3 linked regions of the Pelodiscus sinensis genome follow. The protein of the gene in region 2 interacts with the protein of the main gene of each other region in a pairwise test. Links are inferred from orthologs where the notes say so. Each region holds a gene or a part of one and is shown on either strand. Other genes may lie near its edges.

Region 1 (10,346 bases), on a different chromosome or scaffold from region 2:
AACAAAACAGAGAGCAAGAGAGATCTATTCATTAAGAATAAACTGCTATTTGTTTTGAAGTGGGTCATATATTAGGAAGCCAAACTAATTGTGATTTGAATACAAAATATAAATCACAAAACCACCTGTTTATCAGAATGGGTCTCACTGAAGAAAAACAATTCAGCAGCCACTGTAATTGCATCCTTAGCAGAGGTTTCCAGTTAACAAGTGCTCTTCTGTAGTTCAGACAGTTCCCTAAGCACAAGGGGTTAAAATCAGAGAAAGCCTTAGGCAAGGGTCAAGTTAGAAATATACATGTGATTTCTTTAGATTACAGTTAAAATGTTTACAATATATAACTTTGCCCTATTTGGTACTATTCTTTTATGTTTGTTTCTGTTAGCATGCACTAAGAAACTAAAGTAGTTAGATTCACTTTTGTTTTATAGTCAACTTTACAATTAGATGCTGGTACAAGGATAAAGATGAAAAATCAAGCTACAAACACTGCAACAACATTAAGAAAATATTCCACTGGAAGAATACTAATCCTAATAATATTTTTATTGGTCTTTTGCTTGGGGCAAGCTTACTCGTACAATACCTAAATTTGGGGCAAAATTTGATCTGACAACATCTCTATAACTCAGAATTTTCCTGCCTTTGTTTTATTTACACTAACCTTTGGTATGTGTGATAATAGTAAATATACAGCTGCTAGAAACACTGCAGGATTTTTCAAATTGGCCCTGTGGGATTAGAAACATACAATGTGATCACAAGAGAGTATTTGCTATAAAAAGAAAATTAGAATGTTTATCTTCCAAGAAGCCAAGTCCCACACATGCCTCTGAGTTTGTTTTCTGTCAATTGATTAACATTTTTATTAAGCAAATATTAGTTCTGAGTGAAATGGAAGTGCCCTGGGGACTGTTAAGTATAGCTTTGCAAACACAAATATGTCCAGTGTGGGTTGATGAACACACAGTGGAGAATATCTCAAGTGAATGCCCTCAGACACTTGCACAGCCATGTACAAATTCCTTAAGTTTGATTTGAAATTTGGGTACAACAGTCTGCTTAGGAATGACATGCCTTCTGCAGCAGAAGATAAATTCATTAAACAAGGAGCTTTGTTAACATGGGAATAATCACAAATCAAATTAACTACTGATGCAATTAAAGCCATATGTAAACACAGTAAAGCTGCCTGCTAACAAGACCATGGCATGGAACTTTAAATACAAGAATGACACCTGCTGGCGGGCTAACTTTTTTTTTTTGGGGGGAGGGGGGAGAGGAGAGGATCAAAAGTGTTAGGAAAGGCCTTCAAAATGAAGCTATCATCCACACGTCCGCTGCAATAAAGCAACAATTTATTAATGAACAGATATCTAAAATCCAGCTTGTAACTGCTCAGCATTCACGCTAAAAAAATTATAGGATTGTCCATACTCTCTTCTCAAAGTGTCCAGCCTCTCCCAGGAGCTTTATGTAATATGGCACAAAGGAAATGCTATAGTCCTGCGCTGACCCTGGAAATCTTACAGAGATCTAGTTGTCTTTGGCTTTATCTACATGAGGGTCTCTCTATCCTACTGAAACTATTGGAATAGATAGCTACATCACTGTAGCTGTGCCAGCATAACCATAAGAACAGCCATACTGGGTCATACCAAAGGCCCACTTAGCCCAGTGTCCTGTCTTCAGGAGCCACAGAACCGAACAGGTTATCATCAAGTGATCTACCTCCTGTTGTCCATTCCCAGCTTCTGACACCATTCCTGCCCATCCTAGCTAATAGCTATTGATGGACTTATTCTCAATGAATTTATCTATTTCTTTTTTTAACTCTGTTAAAGTCCTGGTCTTCATAACATCCTCTGGCAAAGAGTTCCACAGGTTGACTGTGCATTGTCTGAAGAAATACTTCTTAAAGGGCTACGTCTACACTGGCATGATTTTCCAGAAATGCTTTTAACGGAAAAGTTTTCCGTTAAAAGCATTTTCGGAAAAACGCGTCTAGATTGGCAGGACGCTTTTCCGCAAAAGCACTTTTTACAGAAAAGCGTCCATGGCCAATCTAGATGCGCTTTTCCGCAAAAAAGCCCCGGTCGCCATTTTCGCAGAAAACAAATCTCTGCTGTCTACACTGGCCCTTCTGCGCAAAAGTTTTTCGGAAAAAGACTTTTGCCCGAACGGGAGCAGCATAGTATTTCCGCAAAAGCACTGACAATCTTACATGAGATCGTCAGTGCTTTTGTGGAAATTCAAGCAGCCAGTGTAGACAGTTGGCAAGTTTTTCCACAAAAGCAGATGATTTTGCGGAAAAAGTTGCCAGTCTAGACACAGCTCGTGTTATGGGAACAAGCAGGGGCAGCCCATGAGCCTAGGTGAACTAGGCAGTTGCCTAGAGCGCTGCTGGCCCAGGCGCTCAGTGATGATGTCATGGGGCGCCGCCCGCCTGGGGCGCCAGCTGCCGCACCTGGCCTTGGATCACTTCTGGGAACAAGTGGTTTACTTTCTCTACACCAGTCATGTTTTTATAGACCTCTATCATATCCCCCCTTAGTTGTCTCTTTTCCAAGCTGAAAAGCTCCAGTCTGATGAGTCTCTTCTCATATGGTAGCTGTCCCATACCCTTAATCATTTTTTGCGTTTTTCTGAATTTTTTCTAATGCCAAGTTATCTTTTTTTGAGATGAGGCGACCATATCTGCACACAGTATTCAAGATGTAGACGTACCATGGATTTATACAGATACAATAAAATATTCTCTGCCTTATTCTCTATCCCTTTTTTAATGGTTCCTAACACTGTTTGCTTTTTTGACTGCTGCTGCACATTGAATGGACATTTTCAGAGATTTATCCACAACTCCAAGTGGTAACAGCTAAATTAGTCACCATCATTTTATATGTATAGTTGGGATTATTGTTTGTGAAGAAGCTAGATTGATGGAAGCGTACTTCCATTCACAGTTGTATCTACCTTGAGGGTTAGGTCACCATAGTTATGTCCCTCAGGAAAGTGGATTTTATACCTTGCCAGATGAAGGTATATTGACCTAACTTTTAAGCACAGACCACTCCTAGAACAACAAACCCTAATTGACAAAAGGAGTTACGTAAACCTACGTTACGTAAACCTACCCTTCTCCCTCAACTTGGATAAAAAATGTTTGCCCTCTAGGTGTAGACAGTGTCAATAGAGCTTGATACCCATTGTTAGCCATGTATGCTGGGTCTCTCCATACTACCAGTGTTTCCCAATTGATGCTCCACGGAACTCTGGGGTTCTGCGAAGCAAAAGTAAGGGTTCCGTGAAAATGCAGCTCTCCCCCGTCCCTTCTTAAAGCAACAGAGTCTATTTTGCAGGGTTTTTTTTTTTTTTTGGCTTGACAAATTTTACCCTGGCAACCCTAGCGGTTCCATGAAATTCTTGTAAGCTGAAAAGGGTTCCATGACCAAATAAAATTGGGAAACACTGCACCACACTATACGTATTAGCGGGACAAAATTGTAGTGCTGCCCCAAATAACAGTGATGGGACTTTTCCATTGCAGGTTGCTGAGAGGCAGCTGGTAAATCAATGGGATTACCTATGCCGGCCAGTAACACAGCTGCTCTACCGTTCAGATGCAGACTAGGAGCTAGTCAGCAGGGAGCAGGGCTACGTCCATTCCTTTGCCATCTTTCATGTTTCCATTTGGTTCTTACTCTCTGCTTCTGCTCCCGCCCAGAGCCCACCTTGCCCTTGCCTCCCTCTGCCCCGGGGCTGGCCCCCGCCGGAGGGGAGCAGGGCCCTCGTGCCGCAAAGGCCAGTCTGGTCTCCAGCCTTTGACAGGGACACCTGACTTATGTTCGTTATGGGGGGGGGGGCTTGGCCCCGAACCACCCCAGCCTGTCCCCGGGGTGCCCAGCTCTGCACCCCCCAATGGATCTGGCCTCCCCCATCTTTCTGCTCCCCAAGGCCCTGCCCCCCCTTTCAGCGCGGGCTTCCCGGGGGCCAGGTACCCCCCAAACCCCGCCCGGGGGACCCCCCCCGGCCAGGGGGCGCAACCCCTCCCCCTCTCTGTGCCTGCCCCTGGGGGCCGTTACCCCCCCCCCCCGCGAGCCTTGGCGCCCCGCCCCCCGCGAGCTCTTTACCCCCGCAGCCCCCCCCCCCCCAAAGGGAACCGCCGCGAGCCCGGCGGAAGAGGCGCGGCCCAGCCCTACCTGCCCGGCCTGGCCTGCTGCTCCTGCCGCCGCCCCTCCCAGCCTGCTCCGCGCGCTCGGCGCCTCCCCCGCCCGTCCGCGCCGGCCCGGAGCATGCTGGGAGTGGTAGTTCCGGCTCCGCGGCGGGGATGGAGCCGGAGCTAGAGCGGGGCAGCTGGCTCGGGATAGCCCCCCCCCCGGGTTGTGTTGGGGAGGGGCTCCCCCGCCGCCCCGGCTGTGCCTGCAGAGCTCTCCCTCGCGCCGCCCCAGGGTGTGTCGGGGGCCCGCGCTGCCTCCAGGCAAACGCCCAGATTCGCGTGTCTGGGGGGCTGCCCCCTCCCCCCCCCCGCCCTTCCCGGGTTTGGGTTGGGGGCCCGGTGCCCCCGTCCCCGGTTTGCATTTTGGAGGCACCTGCCTCGTTGTCCCCCCCCCCCCCGGTGCCTGGAGGAGGAGTCTCTGCTCCCCCCCCCCCCCCCCCCCCCCCCGCCCGTGGGGCTTTGCTCAGTTCAGGCACCAGCCGGTAGATCTCGGAGCCTGTGACAGGTTCGGCCAAGAGCCTGGCAAGCGCAGCAAGTCAGCTGCCCCCTCCCCCCTGCTGCCCATCTCCTGCCTGTTGCCTTGGAGCCCCCCCCCCCCCCCCCCCACCTCTGGAGCCTCCTGCATGCGGTACAGAGCAGGGAACGGAGAGGAGGGGGCACTGAGCAGGGTGCCCCTTCTTCCACCCTGTGCTCTCTCTCTCCACAGAAGGGGGGGGGGGGGGGAGCTTGGGATGGAGGGAGTTTGCTGGCTGCTTTTGAGAGTGATGCAGGGCCAGGGCAGGGCTGAGCCTGCCTTACCCCCACTGCATCACCATCCAAGAGCCATCTGAGATAAGCAGTGTCCAGCTGGAGCCAGTTCCAAACCCCTGCACTGGTCATGAACCCCCTCCTATACCCCTAGCCCTGAGATCCCTGGACTCAAACTCCCTTACAGCGCCTGTACCTTGAACCCACCCCTGCCCCCCAACTCTCTGCCCCAGGCTCAGCTCAGAGCCCCCTCACACTCTAGATCCCTTACCCCAAGACCAAAGCCTGTGCCCCAACCCTCTGCCTCTGCCTCGTGAAAGGGAGGGAGAATGGGGAGGAAGGGAGGGTGGAGTGAGCAGGAGCCGGGTCTGGGAGAAGGGGCACAAAGGAAGCTGGGCAAGGGTGTTTGGATTTGGGGTAGATCTTACATTGCACTTAAATTCAAAAAGTGATCTTGTGCTTAAAAAGATTAGCTACCACTGCTCTAATTGCAGGACATTCACAACTGAGTTGGGGCAATTCTCAGGGATGGATGGGGCCCAAGAAAAAGTGACTCAGACTAGTTAGACAAACATATGTATGATTGGATGCCCCAGACTTGGGGTTCTCAAGACTTTCCATTGCCTGTTTTCCGAGAAGTAGTTCACAGTAAGGATGTCAAATTGCGGTTAATTGACTAGTCGAGTAGTCGATGGAATTTCCCAGCAGGGGCTCTTGTACATTTCAAAGGAGGAATGCAGAACTCGGAGTGCAGCCTGGGGCCAGCGGGAAGTCCCACTGACTCCAGGCCGCACACCAATGCCTGCTTTGAAATGTACAAGAATCCCCAGCAGGGATGCCTGGGCATTTCAAAGTGGCAACGCCACACAGCAGAGCCTGGGATCAGCTGTGCGGTGGCTGCCCCTTTGAAATGCTGCCTCCATGTTTCAAAGGGGCAGCCATGGAGCCCAGGGGCAACTAGGGACTCCCCAGCTGGCCCTGGGCTCCACGGTGCTTTGGCGTTTTGACGGGGCAGTACCACACAGCTGAGCTGTGGATCAACTGTTTGGTGGCTGCCCCTTTGAAACGCTGCCTTCCTCCCCTCACCCCTTTGCAGCCTCTATCTCCTAGAGGCAGCAAAGGAGGGAGGGAACTGACTAGTTGACTATTCGACAGACTATTCGATAAGCAAAGGCTAAGTCCTTAACATCCTTAGTTCTCACTTCTCTTTCACCGCATGCAAGCGGCTTCACTCTCCCTTTGCTCTTTCCCAACATCTCTCTGGTGACTACTATTGCTTATGGAGATATTCCACGCTTCTCCTCATTTGCATATTTGTTGTGCAAAACAATGGCAGCGTAGACATAGCTTGAGAGTTTCATTTCTTTTACCACCATTCAGGCCATGGGGGTTTTAGAGTGTGTCTACACTGCCCTCCCCCCAAAAAAAGTGTGTTCTTAACTTGGGTTAAAGTAGGACAGACTTGGTAACTTTGCTTTTCATTTGGGTTAGCAGCTTGAGTTAAAGTTTGGGACTGAACTCAAACTGCTAATATGAGTTAAAATCCAGGGTGCTTTGTCTTCATTGCTATGTTATTTTTGTTTGCAGTGTAGACATACCTAAAGAGAGTAGACAGAATCATGTGGCCAGGTAGCTTTCTGAGTCATTAGTAAATGCTTCACAAACCAACAATGTTTCACTGATCCCTAAACAGGACTATATAGCACTTTAAAGACTAACAAGATGGTTTATTAGGTGATGAGCTTTCGTGGGCCAGACCCACTTCCTCAGATCAAATAGTGGAAGAAAATTGTCACAACCATATACAGGCAGTCCCCGGGTTACGTACAAGATAGGGACTGTAGGTTTGTACTTAAGTCGAATTTGTACTTAAGTCAGAACTGGCGTCCAGATTCAGCCGCTGCTGAAACTGACCAGCGGCTGATTACAGGAAGCCCGAGGCAGAGTTTCTCTGCCCCGGGCTTCCTGGAATCAGCCGCTGATCAGTTTCAACAGTAGCTGAATCTGGACGCCTGGGACAGAGCAGCTGGGGCGCAGCCGGGTAGATCTCTGCAGCGCCGCACCTCAGCGCTGCGGGGACCAACCCGGCAGCACCCCAGGTGCTCTACCCCAGGTGTCCCCAAGTCAGCTGCTGCTGCAACTGATCAGCGGCTGATTCCAGGAAGCCCAGGGCAGAGAAACTCTGCCTCGGGCTTCCTGTAGTCAGCCGCTGGTCAGTTTCAGCAGCAGCTGACTTGGGGACGCCTGGAGCAGAGCAGCTGGGGTGCTGCTGGGTTGGTCCAGTAGCGCCACTCCTCGACGCTACTGGACCAACCCAGCAGCACCCGAGCTGCTCTGCCCCAGGCGTCCTGATTCAGCCGCTGCTGAAACTGATCAGAAGCGGCTGAATCAGGACTCCTGGGGCAGAGCAGCTGGGGTGCTGTCGGGTTGGTCCAGTAGTGCTGAGGAGCGGCGCTGCGGGACCAATCGGCAGCGCCCCAGCTGCTCTACCACAGGTGTCCACGAGAAAAGCCTGGTTTGCTGGGGGGGGGGGGGGTGCACTAGCTGCGCCCCCCCCCCCCAGCAGATCATGGAGACGCGGGCGGCAGGACCGAGATGTGCCGCCGCCTGGGTCCTCCACGGCTTTGCTCCGCGTCTCCCTGGTCTGCTTGGAGGGGGCCCAGCAGACCAGGGAGACGCGGAGCAAAGCCGCAGAGGGCCTGGGCGGCGGGACCGCACAGATACGCCGCAGTCCTGCCGCCCGGGCCCTCCGTGGCTTTGCGCCGCGTCTCACTGGTCTGCTGGGGGACCCCCCCAGGAGACCAGGGAGACGCAGAGCAGCTTTTCTCGCCCCAGAGGATGCGGGCGGCGGGACCTCGGCGCATCTGGGCGGTCCCTCTGCCCGCATCCTCCGGGGCAAGAAAAGCTCCGTTCGTAAGTACGGATCCGACATAAGTCGGATCCGCGTAACTCGGGGACTGCCTGTATACCAAATGATACAATTAAAAAAAATGAACACATATGAAAAGGACAAATCAAATTTCAGAACAGAAGGAGGATGGTGGGGGGGGGGGGGAGGTAACTGTCTACCTTTCCTCCCCCCGCCCGCCCCCATCCTCCTTCTGTTCTGAAATTTGATTTGTCCTTTTCATCCTTTGGTATATATGGTTGTGACAATTTTCTTCCACTATTTGATCTGAGGAAGTGGGTCTGGCCCATGAAAGCTCATCACCTAATAAACCATCTTGTTAGTCTTTAAAGTGCTACACAGTCCTGTTTTTTGTTTCAGCTAAACCAGACTAACATGGCTACATTTCTATCACTGATCACTGTTTGAGAACCACTGTATTAGGAGTGACTACATTAGAAAATTAGGTTAATCAAGGATGTGAAAAATCCACACAGTTAAATGGCATAGGCTCATCTAAGTTCCTGTGTAGTCAATACTAGGGCAGGTCAATCTAACTGGAAGGGCAGGTCTAGTGGAGTAGTTCTAAAGAAATCAGTGCTGTGGTTAGTATTATTCTATGTTTTCTCTAATCTTTTCCATCCTTGTGCAGAATACATTTTCTGTGTGCACCAAAGCACGTGCGTCATCAGTAGAAACAAAAACTTTGCTGCGGACGTTTTGCTAATCAGCTGGGTGGCGTTTAAACGTCTCCTGAGCAGCTGCACAAGTGCACAGCTTGCAGGAAGCGCTGGTTGGCAGTCACCAACTTCTGTTGATGAGAGGGACAAGTTGGGAGTTCTTCTAAAAAAGATCTGGATTATGTGCAGCTGTGAAAAAAATGTATAATATTCTGGGGTATAGGTCAATGTTCCCACTAATTTTTTTCCATCCATGGGTGTAATAAATTTTATGTGCACCAATAGAAACACATGCTGCCAGCTGTGAGTGCTCTGCCAATCAGCTGGATGGCACCTGAATCACTCCTGGGTGGCTGTCCACATGCTCAGGTTACTGCGAACGCTCGTGTAGGTAACACAGGAGTCCTAGGTAAGAAATGGGAGGTAATTGTTCTGGTGTCCTCTGCACTGGTGAGACCTCAGCTGGAACTGTGTCCAGTTCTGGGCAGCACCTGTTAGGGAAGATGTAGACAAATCAGAGTCCAGAGAGCAACAAAAACAATAAAGAGTCAGAAAACTTGTCCCACGAGGAAAGGTTAAAAACACTGGGCATGTTTAATTTTAAGGGAAGGGAAACCTGGTAATTTGACAGTATGTTAAGGGCTGTTATAAAGAAGACAGAGATCAATACTCCTCCATGATCACTGCTCCATAGAGAACAAAAGAGATTTAGGTTTGATATTAAGAAAAACTGTCAGTTGCTAGCTCTGGAATAGTCTTGCAAGGAAGACTGTGTAATCCCCGGCATTGGAGGTTTTTAAAAACAGGCTGGACAAATTTGTTAGGGAAGATGTAGATTTACTTGGGCCTGCCAAAGTAGAGGAAGCTGGCCTTGAGGGCTTCCCAAGATTCCATCCGGCCCTCCATGTCTATGGTTCTGTAATGAAAACTGTTTAAACAGCTGGCCCCAGCATCCCTGCCCTACACTGTACCCTCTCACCATTCCCTGACACTTTCTGCTGCTGCCAGCCCACCCAATCCCCCGCCCCCCTTCTCCCTCTAATATCCCGGGACCATGACTGCCACAGCACTGCATACAACATAATTAAATGTAGTGGTGACGTGTGTGGGGAGGCACAAGAGGCCCCAAACACTGTGGGCAGGAGGGGCCGACCAGCAAGCAGCAGGACTAGTGGGGGAGGAGGCTGGTTTCCACGGGAGGGGTCCAGCCCCCCTGCACTTACCGGAAGTGGTGGGAAGAACTGGAGCAAGGTGACCCCACAGCACCACTCAAGGCGAGGGGGCAGGCAGGACTCCCCTGCACCCCCTGCAGGAAGTGGAGCAATGTGGCAGCCAGAGGAGCAAAGCAGCTGGTCGATCTTGCTCTTCTTCCCCTGCTACTGCTGCTGAGTGCAGGGGCGGGGGGGAGGGCCGGGGGACGCCTGCTGCTGATGCCAGCCCTGCTAGTCCCCAGACCGCCTGGGTTGGGGGAAAAGGCGCGGCAGTGAGAGGGAGGAGCAGGGTCAGAGCAAGGATGGGGAGAGGCAGGGAAGTTGTCCCGGCCCTTCCCCAGACTGGGGAGGGTCACATGGATGCTGCCCTCTCCCCATGCTCAGCCCTGACCAGTCGCTTCTGATAAAACGCTGTGGTTCTTAGGACCTTGAGCCTGCAGGGACCTCACACTGCCTGAAATGAGACTAAGAACTGACAGCCTAAGTCCTGGGTCACGTTGACTCACCGAGCTGAATCTGGGGTGACTGATGGCTGAGCAGCTACCTTTCAGGCAGGCAGGATTTGGTGAGGTGGCTCAGCAAACTACAGGCATCCTATGGGGAAT
Region 2 (10,272 bases):
CTCCTGTAGTTGTACATTGAATAACAACAAACGATTTACAATATGCTAATGCAATCCCCGCTCACATGCTACTGGAGGAGCACTGAAAACTAACATGCACCAGCATTCCTCCTAAGCCATTCACTTGTGCGGATGCTTAGGAGAAATTCTAATGCTGTCTGGCTGATGAGCAGAGCATCCACAGCGAGGTTTGTGTTTCCACTGGTGATCCACATTCACACATGCACATAAAAAAATTATTCCACACACGGATGGAAAAGTTTAGGGGAACATTATATGCAGCTAATAATGAAAAGCTAGTCAAGTTCTTTATGCTTTCTTAAAACAGTTCACAGCATCATTTTTAAAAATATCCAGCAGGATGGAAGGATAACACACAACACCTATAAAATCAAAGGGCATGGTAAAAATCTTTGCTACCTTCCCAGAGAGAATCCTTTAATCCCTGGACTTCGACTAGCCATTCCAGCAAATTATCCTTTATCGGAGTAGCAAAGATTCCCTAAAAAAGGCACAAAAAGAAGGTACAGTGTGGAATGTGAAGAACTTGCAATGTTCCCTTAAAAACTTGCTTACCTTGTTAGTTAAAATTAAGAATTATGAAAATTAGTTAATTCATATTTCTAAAGCACTTTGAGACATTTGGATTCATGAAAATGTGTGTATCTGTGTGTCTGTCTATGTGTTTGTCTGTGAGTCTGTTTGTTCGTGAGTCTGTTTGTTCAAGAACGCCTCCTAAATGGTAAGAACTAGGACCACTAAATTTGGTATGCAGCTTCCTCTTATCCTAACCTAAAGCAAGGTCAGTGGTTGGTTGCGCTAGGACAATTGGAAGTGCTGGGAAAGAGACTGTTTTCCACGACACAGAAAGGGCGGGGCTATTTGGAGGGACACGATAATGAGAGTAGTCACTGGGGGCAGTGAGCCCGCAGAGAAGAGCTTTCCTGCAGTGTGTCCACTGGGGCAGCTGTGCTTCCAAGGGGGTTGCCAACAGGACTGGGGCTCCTGCCTGCCAGCACACCAGGTAAGTAGCCTCCCTGCCCCAAACCCTTTCCCCCCTTCCCGGGCCTTTGTTGGAGAACTGACATGGGGGGAGAAAAAAGGCCCCTGGTGGCTGAGGGGGGTTGGTTTGGGGGATGACGACAAAAAAAGGCCCATGCTGCATGGGATCCTCCGCCCTGAGCCCCTCCCTCCCTCCAACCCTTACTCTTGCACATACACCTTGCCCCCAGCCTCTTGCAAGGCTCTGCCCTGACTCCTCCACTGCCCACAGTGCCAGCCAGCTGCCTGCCTTGACAGACTTGGGCAATGCCAGGTAAGTCTTCTAGTATTATATATAAACATGAAGGATTGTTATCAAATCTAACAACAAAGTAAGCATTTATATTTCATGTAGCCACGGTCCTTTTTAACTTGGCTTTGGGGAAGGGAATACAGCATATTGCTATAGTAGACGATATTTTTATGAAGAGATCATTGCCAGGCATCAGCAACTAGCACTAGATTTGAATTGTCTACTTAAAGGCAAATGACCATACATATTAATCATCAGTGCCAGAGCCAGCCAGTCCACACAAATATTTTGTTTTACATTTTTGTTGAGTAGCTCACTTGCCATACTGACTCGGTCACCAAAATTCCTTTGCAATGTTCCCGTAAGGGTTCTCCTCTGGAGAAGCACCAATAAAAGCACTTAAAAATCAATGTGAAGATAACCACGTCAGTGGGATTTTTGCCTACTTATGGGGATTGCAATTCCTATGGGGATTCCAGTTGGATTCTTATCACACTTCAGCTGTTCACTGGTGAAATACCCAAAGAATAAAGGTCCACTACTATGAAACCAAGTTGAGTTCTATTTCATTAAATTAAGCCTGATGATCTGTGGAATTAACTTTGAAAATTAAAGATAGCAGGATTAAAATAACTCAACCCATTTGCTTCCCAAAACCCAACCACCATCATCCAAAAATTATAGCTCTACACTGGAGCTGAAAGGTCTACTAGCTCTACTAGCCATATCTGATCAGGCTACTTTGTTAAAAATAAAAATGCAGCTGCAGTGGTGCAGTGGGTGGGACTAGCTGGCTGCCCAAGTGCAATGCTGCCCAAGACTCTAGGTACATACTCAGTACATAATTTTGCAGTTTTAATTCTTTGGTTGAGAAAGCGTGCGGGAAGGGATGCTAATACAAAAAGGGGGAAAGCCAGGCTGAGGATGTAAGAAAGATGTCAGTTGTATGTTAATTGGTTATCCCCCGGCTCAGCTATTGAAAATGAATAAAGATACTACTCACAAAAATATTGGCTTCTTTATACTCCAGATACTCTCTTTCCAACAACAAGTAAGCGCGGGAGTGCATAGCAATAATAGAACTCACGCAGGACGCTTTCTCTCGCCCCTTCCTTTGCAATATTGTTCTTGCTTCACAGAGGCTGTCGTCTTGCAAAAGGACAGTAAATCCTCCCCCTCTAATTCCTGCCACTGCAGTTAGTGGCTTGTACACATCATTTCTAAAGGGTTCGCCTGGCGTTTAAAGAGGCTGATGGCCCTTGAGCTGAAATCTAAATAGGTCAGTCAGAACTAAAAGCCCCACGCAGAGCTGGTGAATGCTTACTAGCAGAGGCTAAACAAACCCAGCTCAGAAGCTTATTCCTGATCCATGGAGTGTTCTTATATGGTTGGAGAGTGGCTATAGGAAGTAAAGGAGAGCCAGGGCAGCTGGGAGCCTCCTCAGCCCAGGGCACAAGGAATAAGTTGGACTCTGTGTACAGTGTTACCCAGCAACAGACTCCTTGGTTTGCTCAGCTGATAAGGCTATGGCTGTGTTCCCTTCCCAGCCAATCACAGGAGGTCTTAGATCATTAATCAGCTTGCCTCCAATCAGAAGTGGCCTTTCACCCAGCACTTAAATAGGCAATTCCCCATGGCTGCAGCTGACAGGACACTAGAGGCAAACCCTCCAGGCCAAGCCATGAATCCAGAGGTGAAGGCCAAGCCTTGACATTAGAGGCTGAACTTGAACTTAGGCAGATGCCTTTATGGCCCCTTCCATTCCCACACTGAGAATTGCCTGGGCAAAGGGCTGCTGGCTCTGCCCCAGTCTTTTTGTTTGTTTTTGAAGTGTCATAATGAGTTTTAAAGATTGGGGATTTTTATAGGATAAGAATTACATGCACCCTATTTATAAATAACACTCGGGTTACAACTCCACCAGCTCACACATAATTATCATGAAATTTAATCCTTTGGCATGCCAGGTCTGATTATCTTATTCCCAAATTCCTCAGGCCCATGTTTCTGGGTCAATGGGGATGGGGAAGAGTTTAAAAAATGAGGATGTTTAAAATCTGTCATGCTCACAGAGCAAACCTATCATTGCCAGAGGGAAGGCGACACTAAAAATCTGCAAGTATCAATAACAGTGACAGAGCCATTTCCCCCCTCACATCTCAACGCACCTTAATCAGGGTAGGTATCAATGTCCGCAGAGGGAGAGGGCCAACAGCTTTGCCAAGGTCATCTACTAAATCAGGGCAGAGCTCAGAATACAATTGCTTTTGCCTGACTCCCAAAGTTTAACTGCATTGCAACACAGCCTCTTGTTCTGCAAAAGCTCTGGCACGACAGGGATTAATAGAGCAGCCGTCTGATCACACAAAATAATTCTTCTGACACATGGCCAGAATCTGCTATAGCTAAGTTTAATTTATCTTCACTTTTTAAAATTCATTAATACCCATAATGCTTTGGGAGAAAGATAATCCTTCCTTAGTTAAAAATGGAGAATTAGCATCATGTTTGGTGATAGCTTGCTAACGGCCCAGTTCTACACCCTTTACTCAAATGAGGAAAGTCCTATTGACATTGAGTGGAATGAGGCTATTTCTAGAAAAAAGTTGTGCAAGTTGGGAATCCCCAAGATTACAAAACCTTCTGGGTTAACCAGTGTTCTGCATGTGAAATATCATAAAATAATTTGGCTGTTTTGTTTCCATATTATTGGAATTGAATCTAGTTTTTGTATCCAGAGTAGGAGGACAATAAGAATCCCAGAGATAACGTCTAAAAGCTAGGAGTGTCGTTAAGACTTATTCTACACTAGCCCTCATCATCAATCTGATTTACATGACTTCAGCTATGCAAGTACCGAAGTCAACATACTTACTAGGGATGTGAAAGACTAGTCGACTATCTGATAAGCAAATGCTTATTGGAGAGTCAACAGGATAGTCGACTAGTCACTTCCCCCCATTTGCTGCCTCTACTAGCTAGAGGCAAGCAAGGGGAAGAGAAGAGATCTTCAAAGCAGCAGCACCGCTGCTGACTCCTCAGCTGATCCCGAGTTCCATGTACGCTGCCGCTTTGAAACACTGGGGAGCCCAGATCTGCTGGGGATTCCCCAGCTGACCCTGGGCTCTGTGCGGTATTTCAAAGCGGCAGTGTTGAGTGGAGCCCGGAATCAGCTGGGGACTGCCCAGCTGACCCCAGGCTCCATGAGGCGCTGCTGCTTTGAAACTCTGCCACCGTGTATCAAAGCGGCAGCACCGCACGGAGTCCAGGGTGAGTGAGTCCCCACCTTTACCCGGGCTCCATGTGGCGCTTTCACCTTTGAAGTGTAGCAACAGCCCTAGGGAATAGGGATAAACGAACAGGATAAGGGATTCCCTTGGGCTGTTGCTACACTTCAAAGGAGGAGGCGCTCTATCGACTAATCAAATAGTCAATGCAAAAATGCATTGACTATTCAATGAGTCAATTACCCAATACTTAACATCCTTAATACTTACTGCAGCGTCTTGTGTGTGGTAAAGTCAGTGGGGACTGCTCTCCTATCAATACTGCCTACCTACTCTTCTCAACCTGGTGGAGTACCAGCATCAACGGGAGAGTGCACAGAGATTGATTTATCGCATTTATTCAGATAACCAGTGTACCCAAAGTTATATCATCAGCATATGCATTGCAGTGCTTCAATCTGTTCCAGAGCAACCAGAGGATATGTAGAGAAAACAAGAGGACAAAGGTGTAAGTGTATGTACCATCTATCAGTAGCTCTGCACCCACAATCATGCTTGCTGGTGTTTGCTCAACGAGGAATTAAGACGCTGGCTAAAGATGCCAGTATCAGCAGTCAGAGCTGCTAGAACAAGAAGGTTGCTCAGAGTGCTTTCATTTAGTTATATGCCTTTTTTTTGTAACACATCTAGTGGTTTTGTGTTGGGAACAATGCGGCCCTCCTATGCCTTCCACACTCCTACTCAAACCACACAGAAACCCAGCTCTGCTGGTTTGCCACAGACTGTCTTCTGTTCTGTCCCTTTTGCCCCCCCGAGCATGGCAGGGACTTGCTGAATTCATACATTAAGTAAAATATTTTCTGGTAAAAAATTATGAAGTTCAGTTAAAATGATTTTGTTTTTAGTGGCAAATAAAAAATATGTTCAACTAATTATTTTCTTAACCATCCTGGAGCTAACGAATAGCTTATCCTCTTTGAACAACTATTTAATTTCTCTTTGTACAAATTTTAAACCAGTTCTGTTATAAATCCCAGTATACATAACAGGACTCTTTGCACAGACATTCTTACAAAATTATATTTTCCATTCATAAGGATCTGAGAACCAGCTCTCACCTGGGGTGTGAAAAACACTAAATACTTCCTGTAAGGGAAAAATTCCCATTGACTTCACTGGGTTTTGAATCAAGTCATGAAGAGATCATCAAGAAAACTGTCTTCTTGCAAGAGAGTCCTTCTCTCAGGATTAGCCTGTGGGCCATATGCAGATTTCCACCCTCCCATTTTGCACTTGTAGCACATGCATAAATTATTATTGAAATCTAAGTATCATGTACAAACTGTTAATTCAGGGGTAGGGGATCTCTGGCTGCTGGGCCAGATGTGGTTCACCAGGGTTAGCCACTGGTGGGTCGCCAGATGCTTTGTTGACCTCAACCAGCGTCCGTAGACACCACCACTCGCAGCTCCCAGTGGCCACGGTTCACTGTTCCTGGTCATTTGGGAGTTGCAGGAAGCAGCGCAGGCCAGGCGACGGGGAACTGTGAGCAGCGCTGCCTGCAGATCATGTTCATGTAAATAAAGTTTCTGGTGGCCTGCCAGGGGCTGACCCTGGTGAACTGTGTGCAGCCAGCACGACAAAGGTTTCTTACCCATATTAATCTATCAATATGTTTCTCAGGTTATTTGCAGATTTCCAAAGCCAGAAGGGACCATTGTGATCAATTCAGATCAATTCAGCAGGCTATAGAATTTCCCCAACTTAATTCGTAGAGCAGATCTTTTAGATGATGGCATGTAAAGTGATAGCTATGTCAGAACACCTCACACTTTGAGTAGGCCTGGCACAGACGCAATCTTTCCCAGAAATTGTCCTCACAGGTTCTGTGAGGAGGCAGAGTTGCCTTCAAGACTCTCAAACATATAGGCTACGTCTACACTGGCCACAATTTCCGGAAAAGCCATGCAAATCAGGTAAGTCAGGATAGGGAAATCTGCAGGGGATTTAAATATCCCCCGTGGATTTAAATAAACATGTCCGCCGCTTTTTTTCCGGCTTGGGGAAAAGCCGGAAAAAAAGCGTCTAGACTGGCGCGATTCTCCAGAATAAAGCCCTTTTCCGGAGGATCTCTTATTCCTACTTTGAAGCCAGTCTAGACACTTTTTTTCCGGCTATTCCCCAAGCCGGGAAAAAAGCAGCGGACATGTTTATTTAAATCCGCAGGGGATATTTAAATCCCCCGCGGATTTCCCTATCCTGACTTACCTGATTTGCATGGCTTTTCCGGAAATTGTGGCCAGTGTAGACATAGCCATAGAGCCTAATCTTGCAAAGGGACACATATCTCCTATGAAGTACGAGAGGCCTCCAAGGCCCACTGGATTCAATGGAAGTTGAGGGAACTCAACATCTTGCAGTGTTGGATCCCAAATGACCAATATAACTGTATTTCTAACAGCACTGAAGTATGAACAGATAAAAAGCATTTTCATTATTTTCAGTTAGGTGAGCTTTCAAAAATTCTCTCGATGTCCAAAGGGAACAGAATAATGAAACAACTAGCAAATTTAGTAGGGAATATTCTAAACCTATAAACTCTTGTACAACTTCAGTCATGCATAGCATTAACGGAGTCTTCTTTGGTTTTCTGTTAAATATCTCAGGCCCTGGAATACTCAGTTAGCAGTTCTGGTATATCCAAGTCTTCCAACCCCATTTTTGTGGAATAATTCTTTGCTACATCTGCAGTTCTGAGTCTGTACCAACCCACCGTAATAATTATCCTTATTTGTAGAGGACACAGTATTGCTAACTACCATTTTGACATGCAGTTTGGTCTTATGTAAGGATAAGGCAATTTGGGAAGGATGAGAAGCCAGAATGAACAAATCGTATCTTGTACTCTCATGTCGCAGTTCTTAAGAGTTTTATTTCCAAAATCCCAGAGATTCACAAACAACTACAATAGTTCTTTGAAGGAAGTTGCTATTCTGATTTGACCATTAGAAAGTCTGTAAAATTTTCTCTGCCTTTGTCTATGATGCACAATAATATTTGGTTCTTGAATTTCAACTCAGACAGGAATTACCAACATTCTGATACCTTTTGGCAGTTTATTTTTCACATTATCCAATTTTATTTTAGTAGGTTTTTTTTTAGCACCCAAGAGAATTCTTGCCTTTCTCTTTTAGCATTCATTAACTCACTGCAATGCTTTGAGTCAAGCTGAGAAGTTGAGTCCCAGAAGTCACAAACTTCATTCACTGAGGGGGAAAAATGTTCTCCCTGAGGCTTTATAGGCTTTTTGCTCAAAGCACATCTTATATTTTTAACAGCTGAAAGCATATATGATTTTTTGACAGATCTCTGTTGTGGATAGCTTTTAAGTAAAGAAAATAAGGGTATGTCTACACTACCACCCTAGTTCGAACTAGGGTGGTTAATGTAGGCAACCAGAGTTGCAAATGAAGCCCGGGATTTGAATTTCCCGGGCTTCATTTGCATATTGCCGGGAGCCGCCATTTTTAAATGTCTGCTAGTTCGGACTCCGTGCCCGCAGTTACACGCAGCACGAACTAGGTAGTTCGGATTAGGCTTCCTACGAGGTGTACCGGTAGTTCGGAGTAGGAAGCCTAATCCGAACTACCTAGTTCGTGCTGCGTGTAGCCGCGGGCATGGAGTCCAAACTAGCAGACATTTAAAAATGGCGGCGCCCGGCAATATGCAAATGAAGCCCGGGAAATTCAAATCCCGGGCTTCATTTGCAACTCCGGTTGCCTACATTAACCACCCTAGTTTGAACTAGGGTGGTAGTGTAGACATACCCCTAACCTACTTATAATTGTGAGTGGGCAGGGGTTAGAGTTAATGTATTTCTATGCAAAACCAAAAAAGTATCCGAAAGATTTTTTTTCAAGTCTGCCATTGCTGCTCCAGTAGGCACATTTTCAAACTGGCATGTCTAAAGCTAAACACTTTTATCCGCAGGCACCTAAGCAAGCAATATGTTTATGGGGTGCTAAGAATCTGCAGCATTAACATTTGTACATTTTTGCTTGTGTGTGGTTTATGCCTGACTTCACAGTAGTTTCTGATTACTTTTAGTGGTTGTTTTAGCAACTAAGGTGTATCTGGATTTATCCTGCTGTGGTAAATGTCAAATGCATGATAGACCTATGCCACTTGTGATAGATCTAGTTAATTAGGTGCTTTCTCTTGTCACATGGACATTACTTTCTTCTTGAACCAATGAATCTAGTAGTACTTGTACAATAGGTGGAAGGGGTTATGAGGATGCTCTTGGTTTTATCATGCTCTTATCAAACGAATGCTTTCAGGAGAATAAGCAAAATTAAGAATCTTGGTATCACTTTTCAAGCATGTTTTTTACATGGAGAGCCATGAGCCAGCCAAAATACAAAGGTTGCTTTATTTAAGTCACAGTTTGTGTTCTTATTTATTCCAAGTAGGAATACGGGATCTTCTGGAAAAGGGCTTATTTTCCGGAAAATCGCGTCTACGCTGGCGCTTTTCTCCGGCAAAAAACCCGAGCCGGAAAAAAGCGGCAGCCATGTAAATGCAAATGCCGCGGGGGGTATTTAAATCCCCTGCGGATTTGCAATTCCGAAGTGTCTCATTAGCATCCCTTTTCCGGAAAGGGATGCCAATTTAGACACAGCCTTAGGGTTTGTAATCCGTCAGTCAGAGGGAAGTTTAGTATAGATGTAATTAGTGATTGATTTTTGTCTCCAAAAATGAAACTTTCCCTTAAATACAGCAAAAATCCTAATTAAAATTCCAGATCTGAATGCTATTAACCTGGAAATGACATGTCAGCTTTGTGGGCTCAGTATATATATAGTACTGAAGACATGGTCTTAAAAGCATTCATTAATGGGATTCTTGTTGAACACATATGCTCAGATTCTCAAAAGGTATTTAGGTGCCAAGCTCCCAATGAGATCAATGGGAATTAGGTGCTAAAATACCTTTGAATATCTGGGCCATACATGTACACAGGGTTCAGAGCATTTGCACGTATGTGGCACTGAAGTCTCACTACAGATCTTAACAATGAGCTTAAATGGTACTCTGGACTTCTGTTCCGGGGTTGAACTTACCCTACAGAGAATAGCACAGAATGCACTAGTTTTGCAGTCTAGTTTTATTATTGCTGTCTTTTTAGTATCTTCCCAAAACATCTGCATGGCCAGCTTTTAAAGTTTAAAGATCTGTATATTTATCCCTCAATTATCATAAAATATTATATGCAAAATCATGCTTGTCTTACTTAGGTAATGAGGTGTTCTGACTTTTAATATTCCTTGCTTGAGTAAGATGAGCAGGATGTGGCCTTTCATAATATTAGGATTTGCAATTATTATACCAAGATTCAGGAAATACCGATTTTTATATTAAAACAATGTTTTAATAAACAGCAGCATAAAATAATCGGTGTTTAATATTATCTCTGGTGTGTGAAATACAAAAATGCACATATCATCAGTATAAAATAGCCTTTGGTATTACATTTTCATGCCTAATTGAAATGCCCTTAATTAATTAATAAATCAATCATCAAATAATACAGTGATTAAATGCATGCAGTGAAAACAAATAAAAATAAAATGTATGTATAAGGTAGTGGCTGAATATCACCATAATATATTTCAAGAACATCTACAGCAGGTTAAAAACAAAAAAGAAATAGACCAGTATATAAAATGCAGAGATGTATTTCACTTCTTC
Region 3 (11,033 bases), on a different chromosome or scaffold from region 2:
TTCCCATCTTGTATGTATGGAACTGATTGTTCCTTCCTAAGTGGAACACTTTGCATTTCTCTTTATTAAATCTCATCCTGTTTACCTCTGACCATTTCTCTAACTTGCTAAGGTCATTTTGAATTATGTCCCTATCCTCCAAAGAAGTCGCAACCCCACCCAGTTTGGTATCATCTGAAAACTTAATAAGCGTACTCTCTATCCCAATATCTACATCATTGATGAAGATATTGAACAGTACGGGTCCCAAAACAGACCCTTGAGGAACTCCACTTGTTATCCCTTTCCAGCAGGATTTAGAACCGTTAACAACAACTCTCTGACTATGGTTATCCAGCCAATTATGCACCCACCTTATCGTGGCCCTATCTAAGTTATATTTGCCTAGTTTATCAATAAGAATATCATGCAAGACCGTATCAAATGCCTTACTAAAGTCTAGGTATATGACATCCACCGCTTCTCCCTTATCCACAAGGCTCGTTATCTTATCAAAGAAAGCTATCACATTAGTTTGGCATGACTTGTTCTTCACACACTCATGCTGGCTATTCCCTATCACTTTATTACCTTCCAAGTGTTTGCATATGATTTCCTTAATTACCTGCTCCATTATCTTCCCTGGGACAGACGTTAAACTGACCGGTCTGTAGTTTCCTGGGTTGTTCTTATTCCCCTTTTTATAGATGGGCACAATATTTGCCCTTTTCCAGTCTTCTGGAATCTCCCCTGTCTGCCATGATTTTTCAAAGATCATAGCTAAAGGCTCAGATACCTCCTCTATCAGCTCCTTGAGTATCCTGGGATGCATTTCATCAGGACCTGGTGACTTGCTGACATCTAACTTTCCTAAGTGATTTTTAACTTGTTCTTTGTGTATCCTATCTTCTAAACTTACCCTCTCTCTGCTTGTATTCACTACGTTAGGCACACCTCCAGACTTCTCGTGAAGACCGAAACAAAGAAGTCATTGAGCATCTCCACCATTTCCAAGTTCCCTGTTACTGCTTCTCCCTCCTCACTAAGCAGTGGGCCTACCCTGTCTTTGGTCTTCCAAATACTAGGTGACTGGCAGATGCCCTGTTCCTCAATGGAAAAAGTTCTAAACTTGACATCCAATAAACAACCAATTTAAAATTCTTCTGTGACTATATAGTTCAAAAGTCACCTGAGAATGTGAGAGCACTCCCAGCATAAGCACTCCTTCTTGCCAGAGGCTTTTCTAATGGTGATGTATCAAAGTCCATCACCAGTAGAGATGTTGAAGAAGTCCAAGACTTGCATAGTACTCAGGAAAAAACAGACACAAGAATGCTTCTACATGCTGAATGTGCCAATATGGCTTTTGGGTCTCTGGGTGTCAAAGGAACCATAGTAATTATGTAGGGTGACCAAATGTCCCAGTTTTATAGAGACAGTCCTGATATTGAGAGCTTTGTCTTACACCGAAGCCTATTACCCTCTACCCCAGCCCAATTTTTCACATTTGCTGTTTGGTCACCCTATAATTATGTCATCTGACACAGATGTTTTGGTCCTTGCTGTTCACTACTTTTTAAATATGGAACACCGAGAAGATTTGCCCAGTGTTACATGGGTTGTTAACTCAAATTTTTTCTTCGCTGAAATCATTGTTCTGGAGTGGAGCTGGGGATGAGGGGTTCAGTGTGCAGGCTTCCCCGGGGAAAGAGGACAGCCCCAGCCCTCTCTCACTACAGCAACTTGGGGCCAGGCAAAACGCACCTGTCCATGGCTGCTGCAGTTACAGCGAGTACAGCCGAGGGAGGAGTTCATGTCTCCCAGCGGGGTGGGGGGGGCAGACAGATGCACAGACCATAGCCACACAAACAGACAAACTCTCTGAAATACATAGTAGATAGCTGAGCTGGTCCCCATCTCTAGCCCCTGGCTACTCCCCATGATCATTCCACAGTATAACTGTCTCTCCTACCAGGCCCTGACCTTTCCATTTTACGAGAAACAATCAAATTCCATTGTCCTGGTACAACTAAACACTGATCTTTCTTTAAGTTATGATCACAGGAAACTGCATACCAGATGTGGTGGTCCTAACTCTTACCATTTAGAAGGAGTTCTTGAACAAACAGACTCACAGATGAATCCGGGGACACACAGATGCACAAACTCTCTAAAATATATAGTAGATTAGAAAACACATGGACTGAAACAGGCACCATTACCAGGACAACTATCAAGTGCCACTTCATACCTGTGCATACAATTTGTGAGGTACTCACTCCACTACTGTAACATTCTTCCTGCTTTATATGTGTTAACAGCATTTGACGCAGTGTCATCCCTGTTTGGTACTGGGGAAGGGGGAACATGTTTAATGTTGTCACAGTGAAGGGAACTTACCTCTTAAGATATCTTGCCAAATTGGGAGAGAGTAAGGCTATGTCTAAACTGCAGGCTTCTTTTGGAAGAAGCTTTTCCTGAAGAGAGCGTCTGAAAAAACTTCTTCCTAAAGAGAGCGTTCACACTGCCAGAGCACATTGAAAAAGCAATGGACGCTATCTTACATTTCAGCTGTGATTACTATGGACAGAATGGCCACCAGGGCATCTGTGCTTTTTCCTCTTCTTTCACAAGAACTCCCTCTTCCTCATCCACACACACCTTTTTCCAAAAGAGCTCTTTCGGAAAAAGGCTTCTTCCTCGTAGAAAGAGGTTTACCAATGTTGGAAAAAACCCTCTGTTCTTTTGATTTTTTTTCAAAAGAACATGCTTGCAATGTGAACATAAGTGAAGTTTTTCGGAAAAATGGTAATTTTTCTGAAAAAACTCTGCAGTGTAGACATAGCCTGACAAACTATAATTTCTCCAACAAAGAAGTTTGTAGCAGTACAGTACTATAGGACCAAAAAGAAGGAAAAAAGGAGCCCCACAGAAATTGCTTACGATTCAATATATCAAAAAGGACAAGACAATGGCCAAACTTACACCATGTGAGGACAGTTTTGAAGAACAAGTCAAAAGAGCATCTTGTCAAAGATTTGAGTGTTCTTGCACATACATAAGCCACATATTGGATCACCATTGCAACCAATGGGATGGAAAAATGTGTATGGAGTGCACATGCAAAACACATTTAAAATACCTGTCATTTTCATTTTAAGTATGTTTCAAAAGGTAACTAGACTTTAAATCAAAGCTATTTTAAAACTGAACATTTATCATTTGTTATTATAAATATGTAAAATAACATTCCCAACTGAATAAAATCTCCAAATCAGAATATGGTTTTGAAAAGGAAAATGCCTATAGATGCATTCATAAGAGAAATCAGGAAAATCTATCTTTTATTGGTAAACTTCCTAGAGTGGAGGAGAGTTATGCAAAGATCTCCAAGCTGCAGCCCACAGTAAAGGCACATATTTTGTAAATAACGCAAATCACTGAGAAATCTGTGGGGGAGGATCCTTTCTTAAAATGGGAAATCACTGTTCATTTACAAGGCTGGGTTAGTTAGTTAGCTGTTTGTGTGTTGAGGGGAAGAAGGCAGAGAGACATTTTCCTAGCTTCCTACATATTCAAACACTTCACTGAGAAAATCCTAACTTGACGTTGTGTGTGTGCTGAGTAGCAACCCACGGTCTATAAGGGAAACGTTGACACCACAGGCAAGCAGCGCTTGTGGGCGCAGCTGCAGCACTGAGCCAGTGGTGTAACAGCAACGAGCCTCTAGGCACCCCTCCGCCACACGAACTCACTTCACCGCAAGTATGAATGCAATGTCTTCCGATGCCGTGTGAAGCTGACATGCTGCAAAAGGGAGCTTCGCAGACAGCAGCAGCTCTGGAAAAGCCCATGTAAAGGTGTAGATTACATCAAAATGTCCAGCTGCATAGGGGTAACCCCCAGTTGCTTACCTTTGTTCCTCTCCCCCAGCGGTTAGGGCATGGCATGAAGTTTTAAGCTCTGGAGCTATTTCTTCCTTAGCCCAGCTCCTGTTAAGCTTGCAATTGCAATAGTTTCTTCGGCGCTTAACAGCAGCTGCTGAGACAGTGAACTGACAACAGCCTGCTTCAGGTAAGAAAAAGAAAAAAAAAAGAAATAAAAGAAAAACGTCTCTTTTGCAGATGCTCTTCCCTCTCCCTCCACTTGCTTACTCCTCTACCCGGTTCACTTCTTTCTCTCTATCATTCTCCAACTCAGCTCCTTTCCTTCTCCCCTAAGGAGGATTTTAGCAGCAGCACGTCCAGGATCTCGGCTGACAAAAAGAGCTGGGATGGGCGGCTGGAGGACCCACATCTGGGGTGCCAGGGGAAGGGATACACAACCGCCAAGGTCTGCTGCTCATAGCAATTCATACACGCGGTGTGTGTCTGAAAGCACCGCCTCCTCCTCCCTTACAAAGGGCAAATTCATTTTTACATTTCATGAATACAGTACAGAAACCAGGGGTCGGTGCCTGAGGATTCCCACAGCCACTGAATGTTTGATGGCGAGCACAGCAGAAAGAAAGAGGCTCACTCTGAAAAGAAAAGACTCGTCTATTCTGGACAAAGTCCATTTAAATCGCCTGTTGTCAACAAACCATGATCATACCTTTGATTTTAAATGCTAAAGACCTTTCAAAATCCAAAATGTCCCTCCTTACACTGTTTATTTAATTTATCTTTTTTAATTTTGGACAATGAGAATCAAAACGGCTTTCACTTTGAATTACAGTTAGTGTAATAACTCTCATGCTGAATAGGTTGATTGCATAATAATAATAAAACTTTGTTATTGATGTTAATAAAGACTTTATTTTTTTTTATTATTATTATTATTATTATTATGTAAGAAAATCTAAAGGTTTAATATTTGTTAATAAAGGTCTGCAGAATCAGGGCAAATAACCCTAAATGAAGGGGGAAATGTAAATTGACAGTGTCTCTTTATCTTAAATATAGGTTATATAATGTTGGTACAAGTGACTCACACATACAAACATGCTATATTCATTACAAAAACTATGCCAAAGGTAACAAGGGGCTACCAACTGGTTGAACACTCATTGGGGGCACATTTTGCTCCTAACATAGTTGATTAACTGAACCTCATTGTTTGCAATGATATTGCACCAATGCACCTGAGAACAGAATTTGATCCTCTGTGTTGAACAATGCAGATCTAGAAACCAATTGCTCAACCATATCCACATCACCCAGATCTTTGCAGCAAACAGAGGGATTCAGAATAATTTCACTGCTCTGCATTATATGGGGGTGCATCTACACAGCATCCTTAGCTTGAAATAAGTTACCCAATTTGCATTACGCAAATTGCACAGCTTATTTCAAGAGTATTTCAAAATAACTCGCTATTCCGAAATGCCCATTATTTCAAAATCTATTTCGAAATAACAGGCTGATTCAATAGATGTGGAATAGCTATTTCAGGATACTTCTAGTATCCTGAAATAGCTCCACAGTGTACACCTATGCTAAGAGGGTTGTACTGAGGTCTGTGTGCAGAGCTCTCTGAGCCCTGGTTTACACTACCAGGAATGTGTGGAATGTCCACACTACCAAGACTTTTATTTTGAAATAAGGGACTGGTTATTTCGAAATAACTATTCCTGATTTCCACGAGGAATAATGATAACTTCAAAATAGCTATTTTGAAATAGCGGACACTCCACTGCTGTTCTTTTGAATTAACTACTCCCCAGAGTCATTCAAAGTGACTGTTCCAAATTCTTTAATAGATTTGTGAAATTTATACCTGAGTTGTGTTTTTATTGAGCAATTATCCACTGGTGATAGATACAGTGTCGGGGAACCTGTTCTTCTGGTGTCAGGAACAAAATTCCACAGATCTTAGTTGTAAATTTATTCTTGTTACTGAGTTCCTGGGTAACAGATTGAAATTTATTTTATACTACACAAGTCAATTATATTTCATATATAGCCACTTTCTGGTACCATCCAAATTAGATTAAGTTATTAGATTAAGTAAGTGTTGATTTTCCATGGTATAAAGTAACTGCTTAGTGTTTCAATAATTTCCTTTTTCTAACATTTTGCAAATTATTTGTGTTACTTAAGTCAACCTATCTTTTTATGTTTAAACTTCTATTTTGGCAACGGTTACATGATATTTAGGTTTAAACGCTGTATATAGTTCTAATATTTATATATATGAGGCTTTACAGTTTTTCAGCATTTAACAGCACTTACAGGCATTAACCCCGACCGTCCCTGCCGTGTGCGGCTGGGAGAAGGCTTGAAAGAAGAGGTGGGCATGAGGAAGGTAGGGATGATGGAGCAAAGCATGTGTGAGGGCACAGGGGCAGGAGGAGAACGGGGGCAGAGAGTGCTGAGTGGGTGGGCATCAGGGAAAAAGAGGGCAAAGGGGCACAGGCAGTAAGGGAAGGAGGAGGCACCAGGAGGGAGCAGGGCTAAGGGAAGGTGCAGGTGCCAGGGGGTTTTGGGGTGGAGCAGAAGGGCAGACACCTGCAGGGAAGGGACCAGCACCAGAGAAGAGAGGCAGGGCAGGTGTGTAGAGGGAGGTGTTAGCAGAGGGGATGAAGACGGGTAGCTCACATGATCAGAGTGGGGCTACTGGAGGATTGGGCACGGGGGGGGGAAGAGAAGGGCTGGTGGAGGGAGGCAGGTCGCAGGAGGGCTCAAGGCAGTGAGAAGGGCAGGAGTCAGGACAGCAGAGGAGGGTGAGGAGTTGGAGGGCAGCAGGCACCAGGGGAGCTGATGGAGCAAGGGGAGGAGACATGGCAGCAGAGAGAAAAGGCAAAGGTTTATAAAATATTTATTAATAACTTGGGTACCACAGTGGCACATCCAAACAAGCCACATGAACTCAGTACAGGTACACAACACAAAATCCATTCTGCTCATGGGAGGAAACTCTTAGGTTATATCTACACTAGCAGCTTTTTGCGCAAGAATATCTTATCCAAGGGTTCTTGTGCAAGAACATGTCCACACTGCCATGTGCAAGCTGTGATTTTGCGCAAGAGCATCCATGGCAGTATGGACGCTCTCTTGCGCAAGAAAGCTCCAATGGCCATTTTAGCCATAGGGGTTTCTTGCACAAGAAATCCCTGCCGAGCATCCTCACTACCCTCTTGCGCAAGAGAGCTTACATCTGTTAGAAAAGAGCGTAGCGCAAGACACCGTCTCTTACCACGCCGTACTGTAAATTTCCTTGCACAAGAGCAGGCGGGCAGCGTGGATGCTCTGTGGGTTCTTGCGCAAGAATGGCTGTACTTGCACAAGAAGCCATGAGTGTAGACATAACCTTAGAGGGAACACTTCCCCCCGGCTCTCTGCCCCCGAGTTAACATCACACACATTGAGTTAATGCAATTGCAAGATAGTTGCATGAAGGGGGTTTGGTGGGGGCCACACTAAACCCTATTGGTAGGAGGATGGTGGGAATTTCCTTCGAGAGGGGTGACATGACACCTTTTACTTCTGGTCATGTGTCCATCTTGCCCTGAATGTGTTACCTCCAGAGGCCTCCAGAGGGGGTGTGGCTAATGGGGGTCGGTGTGTGGTTAACAGCGGTCAGGGGGTGTGGTTAATGGGGCACCACCAAAACTTATACAAATCTGCCACCCCTGCTGGCCCCAGGGGAGGAGTGCATCGGCCGCAGGAGGTATGAGTTTAGTGCAGGGTTTTCCTGTGCTGTGGGAGGGTGTGTGTGTGTTGGTGGGGGATTTTTTGTATGCTTTTTTTTTCTTTTGCTCAACCAAAATTGCTGTGGGGCCCTGTCAAAATCGTTTGAATTGGGCCCCGCACTTCCTAAAGCCGGCCCTGCTGCCAGTAGAGCTGCATGACCAAAAAGGAGCTCAGGCAAGTGTACCAGAAGACAAAGGAGACAAACTCAGACATGCCACTTATATGAGCAGCTGCATGAGATTCTAGGGGAAGACCCAACCACTGTCTCAAAACTGTCCATAGATACCTCCCAAGAGACTCTTCAGACAGCCTCAGGCAACAACAAAAAGTATATTGGAGATGAGAAAGAGGAGGAGAATATTTAGTAGAGAAGCAGAGGATCTGATCTCACCAACAGGCAGGACCTTTTTCTAACTTTGGAGCCAATTCCCTCCCAGGACCTATTTATTGTTCTCAGACCCTGGTGGAGAGGAAGGTATTTCTGGCGAGTTCACATATACAATCAGACTACAGTGATTAAATGTAATTGGGATTAATCTTTGATTTGCCCTGAACAATTGGGGTACAGTGGTGGCCAGGCCACCTATACATTGAGAGTTTCCCAGAAAAGTTTGTTAGCATATCTGGAGATGGAATGGGAATCCTCCCTGCTGTGATCGAGGTACTCTACAATCTTTGTCAGGTTTCAGGAAAGGGCTGCCTTATTCCATCCTCCAGGGGAGGACACCTTTCTAGGGAAGTAAAATCCTCTTTCATTCATTAACCGGTTAAATGTTAAGGTTAACCAGTTAATTGAGTATACAGGGTGGGCAGAGGGGCTGCTCCAGCTGGGCTGAAGTACCTCTGCCTGAAGCATGCCGGGAGTTACCCCCAACTCCACCATGAACCAGGGATGCTCCGGTTGAGCTGTAACAATCCTGCCTATGGCAGGCCCTGTGGGGTTGGAGCAGCCTCCTGCCCTTGCTGGGTGGGGGACTGCTCCAGACCCTCACTGGTTAACCATAACTGGTAAACCTCACCTGTTAAGAGTGAGGAATACTGGTTAACTAGTTAATCATTAACATTCCTACATCTTTTTATACCAAACCAGCAGTAAGTGACCTAGCATCATTGCAGCACAAAGCATAGCAGCATAAGCTCCAGGTTTCTGGCCACATTTATTCAGCATCCACTCCTCATTGTGCTCTCTAAGGGTACGTCTACACTGCAACATTGTTTCAAAATAACTAGCATTATTCCGAAATAACTTAGTCTGCATCTACACAGCAGTAGTCATTTCAAAATAGTGTCAAAATACTGTCAAGCTGGAGGATTTCTTACTCCAACTCCTGTAACCCTCATTGTATGAGAAATAAGGGAAATTGGAGGAAGAGTGCTCTATTTCGAAATACAATAAGCTATTTTGAAATAAGCTATGCAATTGACGTAGCTCAATTTGTGTAGCTTCGTTCAAGTTAAGCCCTGCAGTGTAGACATGCCCAAAGACTGATATTGTGCATGGTGACCTGGGTGAAATGGTGGAAGCTCTGTAATTGATAGGTACTGAGGCAATCCACCTCTGTTTGTTCATCCCCAACAAATTATTACCCAGGTTTGCTGTCCTGTTTGCAATGGGCTCCAGAGATCATCCCGGAGAACAGCTGCGTAGGAGGGGTTGGCAACTACGCTCTATGAGCCCTTGAATCTCCAAATCATTGCAGTCTAGAAGCGGAGGGGGCCCCTTCCAATTCCCTCCTCCCCCTTGCAAACACAAAAGCATGAATGAGGACTGTAGTTTGCAAGCACCCTTTTCCATGTTTTCAAAGCAGAAACAAAATAGCCCTCCTCACGAGTTGCTTACCATGCCTGTCTGCAAAGAGTTCAACTGCCCAGCACACTCCCATATGTTATACTTTACTGGTAGGCACTCAATTTAAAATGCATAATTCAACCTAGTACATAACACGTACTTTGTTTCAGGGGGTCATCTGAAGAAGTGGGCTGTGCCCACAAAACCTCATAATACCATATACATGTTTTGTTATTCTTTAAAGTGCTACCAGACTATTTGTTGTTTTTTAAGTTTAACATGTCCTTTGTGTTATAAACTGCTTCATTCAGGTTTACCTTTTTATTTCCCTAATACAGTTGGAACCATCAGTCTGTTACTTGCCCCTGCTTCTCCAGTAGTTAGGCTTTCAGGGTATGTCTACACTAGCCCCCTAGTTCTAACTAGGGAAGCTAATGTAGGCATTCGAAGTTGCAAATGAAGCCCGGGATATTTAAATATCCCGGGCTTTATTTGCATCTTCCCGTCTAAGCGCCATTTTTAAATCCCCTTAGTCCGAACTAATTGCCTGCGGCTACACACGGCAGTCAAACGTTAACTCGAACTAAGTCCTTACTTTGAGTTAACGCTTGACTGCCACGTGTAGCCGCGGGCAGTTAGTTCGGACTAAGGGGATTTAAAAATGGCGCCCAGACGGGAAGATGCAAATAAAGCCCGGGATATTTAAATATCCCTGGCTTCATTTGCAACTTTGAATGCCTACATTAGCCTCTCTAGATCGAACTAGGGGACTAGTGAAGACATACCCTCACAGACTAGAAAGTGGGAAAATAAAAAAACCATGGGACAAAATATTTAACGAGCTCATGCAATCTGCCTGCACTGATAGAACACTACTGAATGCATAGATGAGAACGCTGTTAGAGGTCATCTGCACCGAACAGGAGGACAGGAAAGCTTGCAGGGAACATGAACATAAGGCACAGGATGAGATGTTGAGGCTCATGGAGGGGAACAAACAGAGCTAATTAAGCACCTGGTAGAGGTGCAGGAAAAGCAACTGGAGCACACAGCTTCCCTGCACCCATGCAAAACCATCTGCCCTCCTCACCAAGTTCCATATCCTCCTCTCCCATATGTCCTAGAATGCAGGTGGCGGGGAGGACCAGGAAGCCTTAACTCAACTCCCAGGGATGGCTCCTGGAGGAAAAGACCATCATTCCCAGAGCTTTGATAGCTACACAGAGCAATTGTAATAAACCATGTGTCCTTGTGCCTCCCTCCCTCCATTATTAGACCCTAGCTACACCCACAATTCCTTTTCTATTCAGTTATGTTCTCTCTGACGCATAGTGCATCTTAATGTGCTCTTCTTATTGCTCTGGTATCTGGCTGCTCTTAGTTAGCTACCAGGCAATCTGCCTAGACACTTCCCACCCACACCAGAAGCTGCCCCTCTTCCCCGCAACTTTCACAGATTCTATGCAGCACACACCAAGCAGCAATAACAATGAGAGTAGTGCTTTCACTGAGGTCTCACCTAGTGAATAAACTTCAGGAGGTAGCCAAGTTAGTCTGTACAGGATAAACTTAAAAAACAACAAATGATCTGG

What was found.
Region 1: the proteins of UBE2U (region 2) and TRIM32 interact in binary tests that used the Homo sapiens proteins (3 or more experiments, as listed by UniProt). The link is inferred for Pelodiscus sinensis from reciprocal best matches to the Homo sapiens genes UBE2U and TRIM32.
Region 3: the proteins of UBE2U (region 2) and RNF144B interact in a two-hybrid assay, tested with the Homo sapiens proteins (2 studies listed by BioGRID and IntAct). The link is inferred for Pelodiscus sinensis from reciprocal best matches to the Homo sapiens genes UBE2U and RNF144B.

What each region holds. Positions count from the first base shown.
Region 1 is NC_134732.1:6,516,326-6,526,671, reverse strand, and holds the start of TRIM32 (E3 ubiquitin-protein ligase TRIM32), read right to left. Parts: upstream 4,311-10,346; 5' UTR 4,200-4,310; intron 3,868-4,199; exon of another isoform or gene 3,135-3,867; intron 732-3,134; exon of another isoform or gene 665-731; intron 238-664; exon of another isoform or gene 126-237; intron 1-125. UniProt on the Homo sapiens protein: E3 ubiquitin ligase that plays a role in various biological processes including neural stem cell differentiation, innate immunity, inflammatory resonse and autophagy.
Region 2 is NC_134719.1:17,547,630-17,557,901, reverse strand, and holds the start of UBE2U (ubiquitin-conjugating enzyme E2 U), read right to left. Parts: upstream 4,523-10,272; 5' UTR 2,364-4,522; coding exon 2,298-2,363; intron 503-2,297; coding exon 421-502; intron 1-420. UniProt on the Homo sapiens protein: Catalyzes the covalent attachment of ubiquitin to other proteins.
Region 3 is NC_134712.1:105,603,639-105,614,671, forward strand, and holds the start of RNF144B (E3 ubiquitin-protein ligase RNF144B), read right to left. Parts: upstream 4,476-11,033; 5' UTR 3,894-4,475; intron 1-3,893.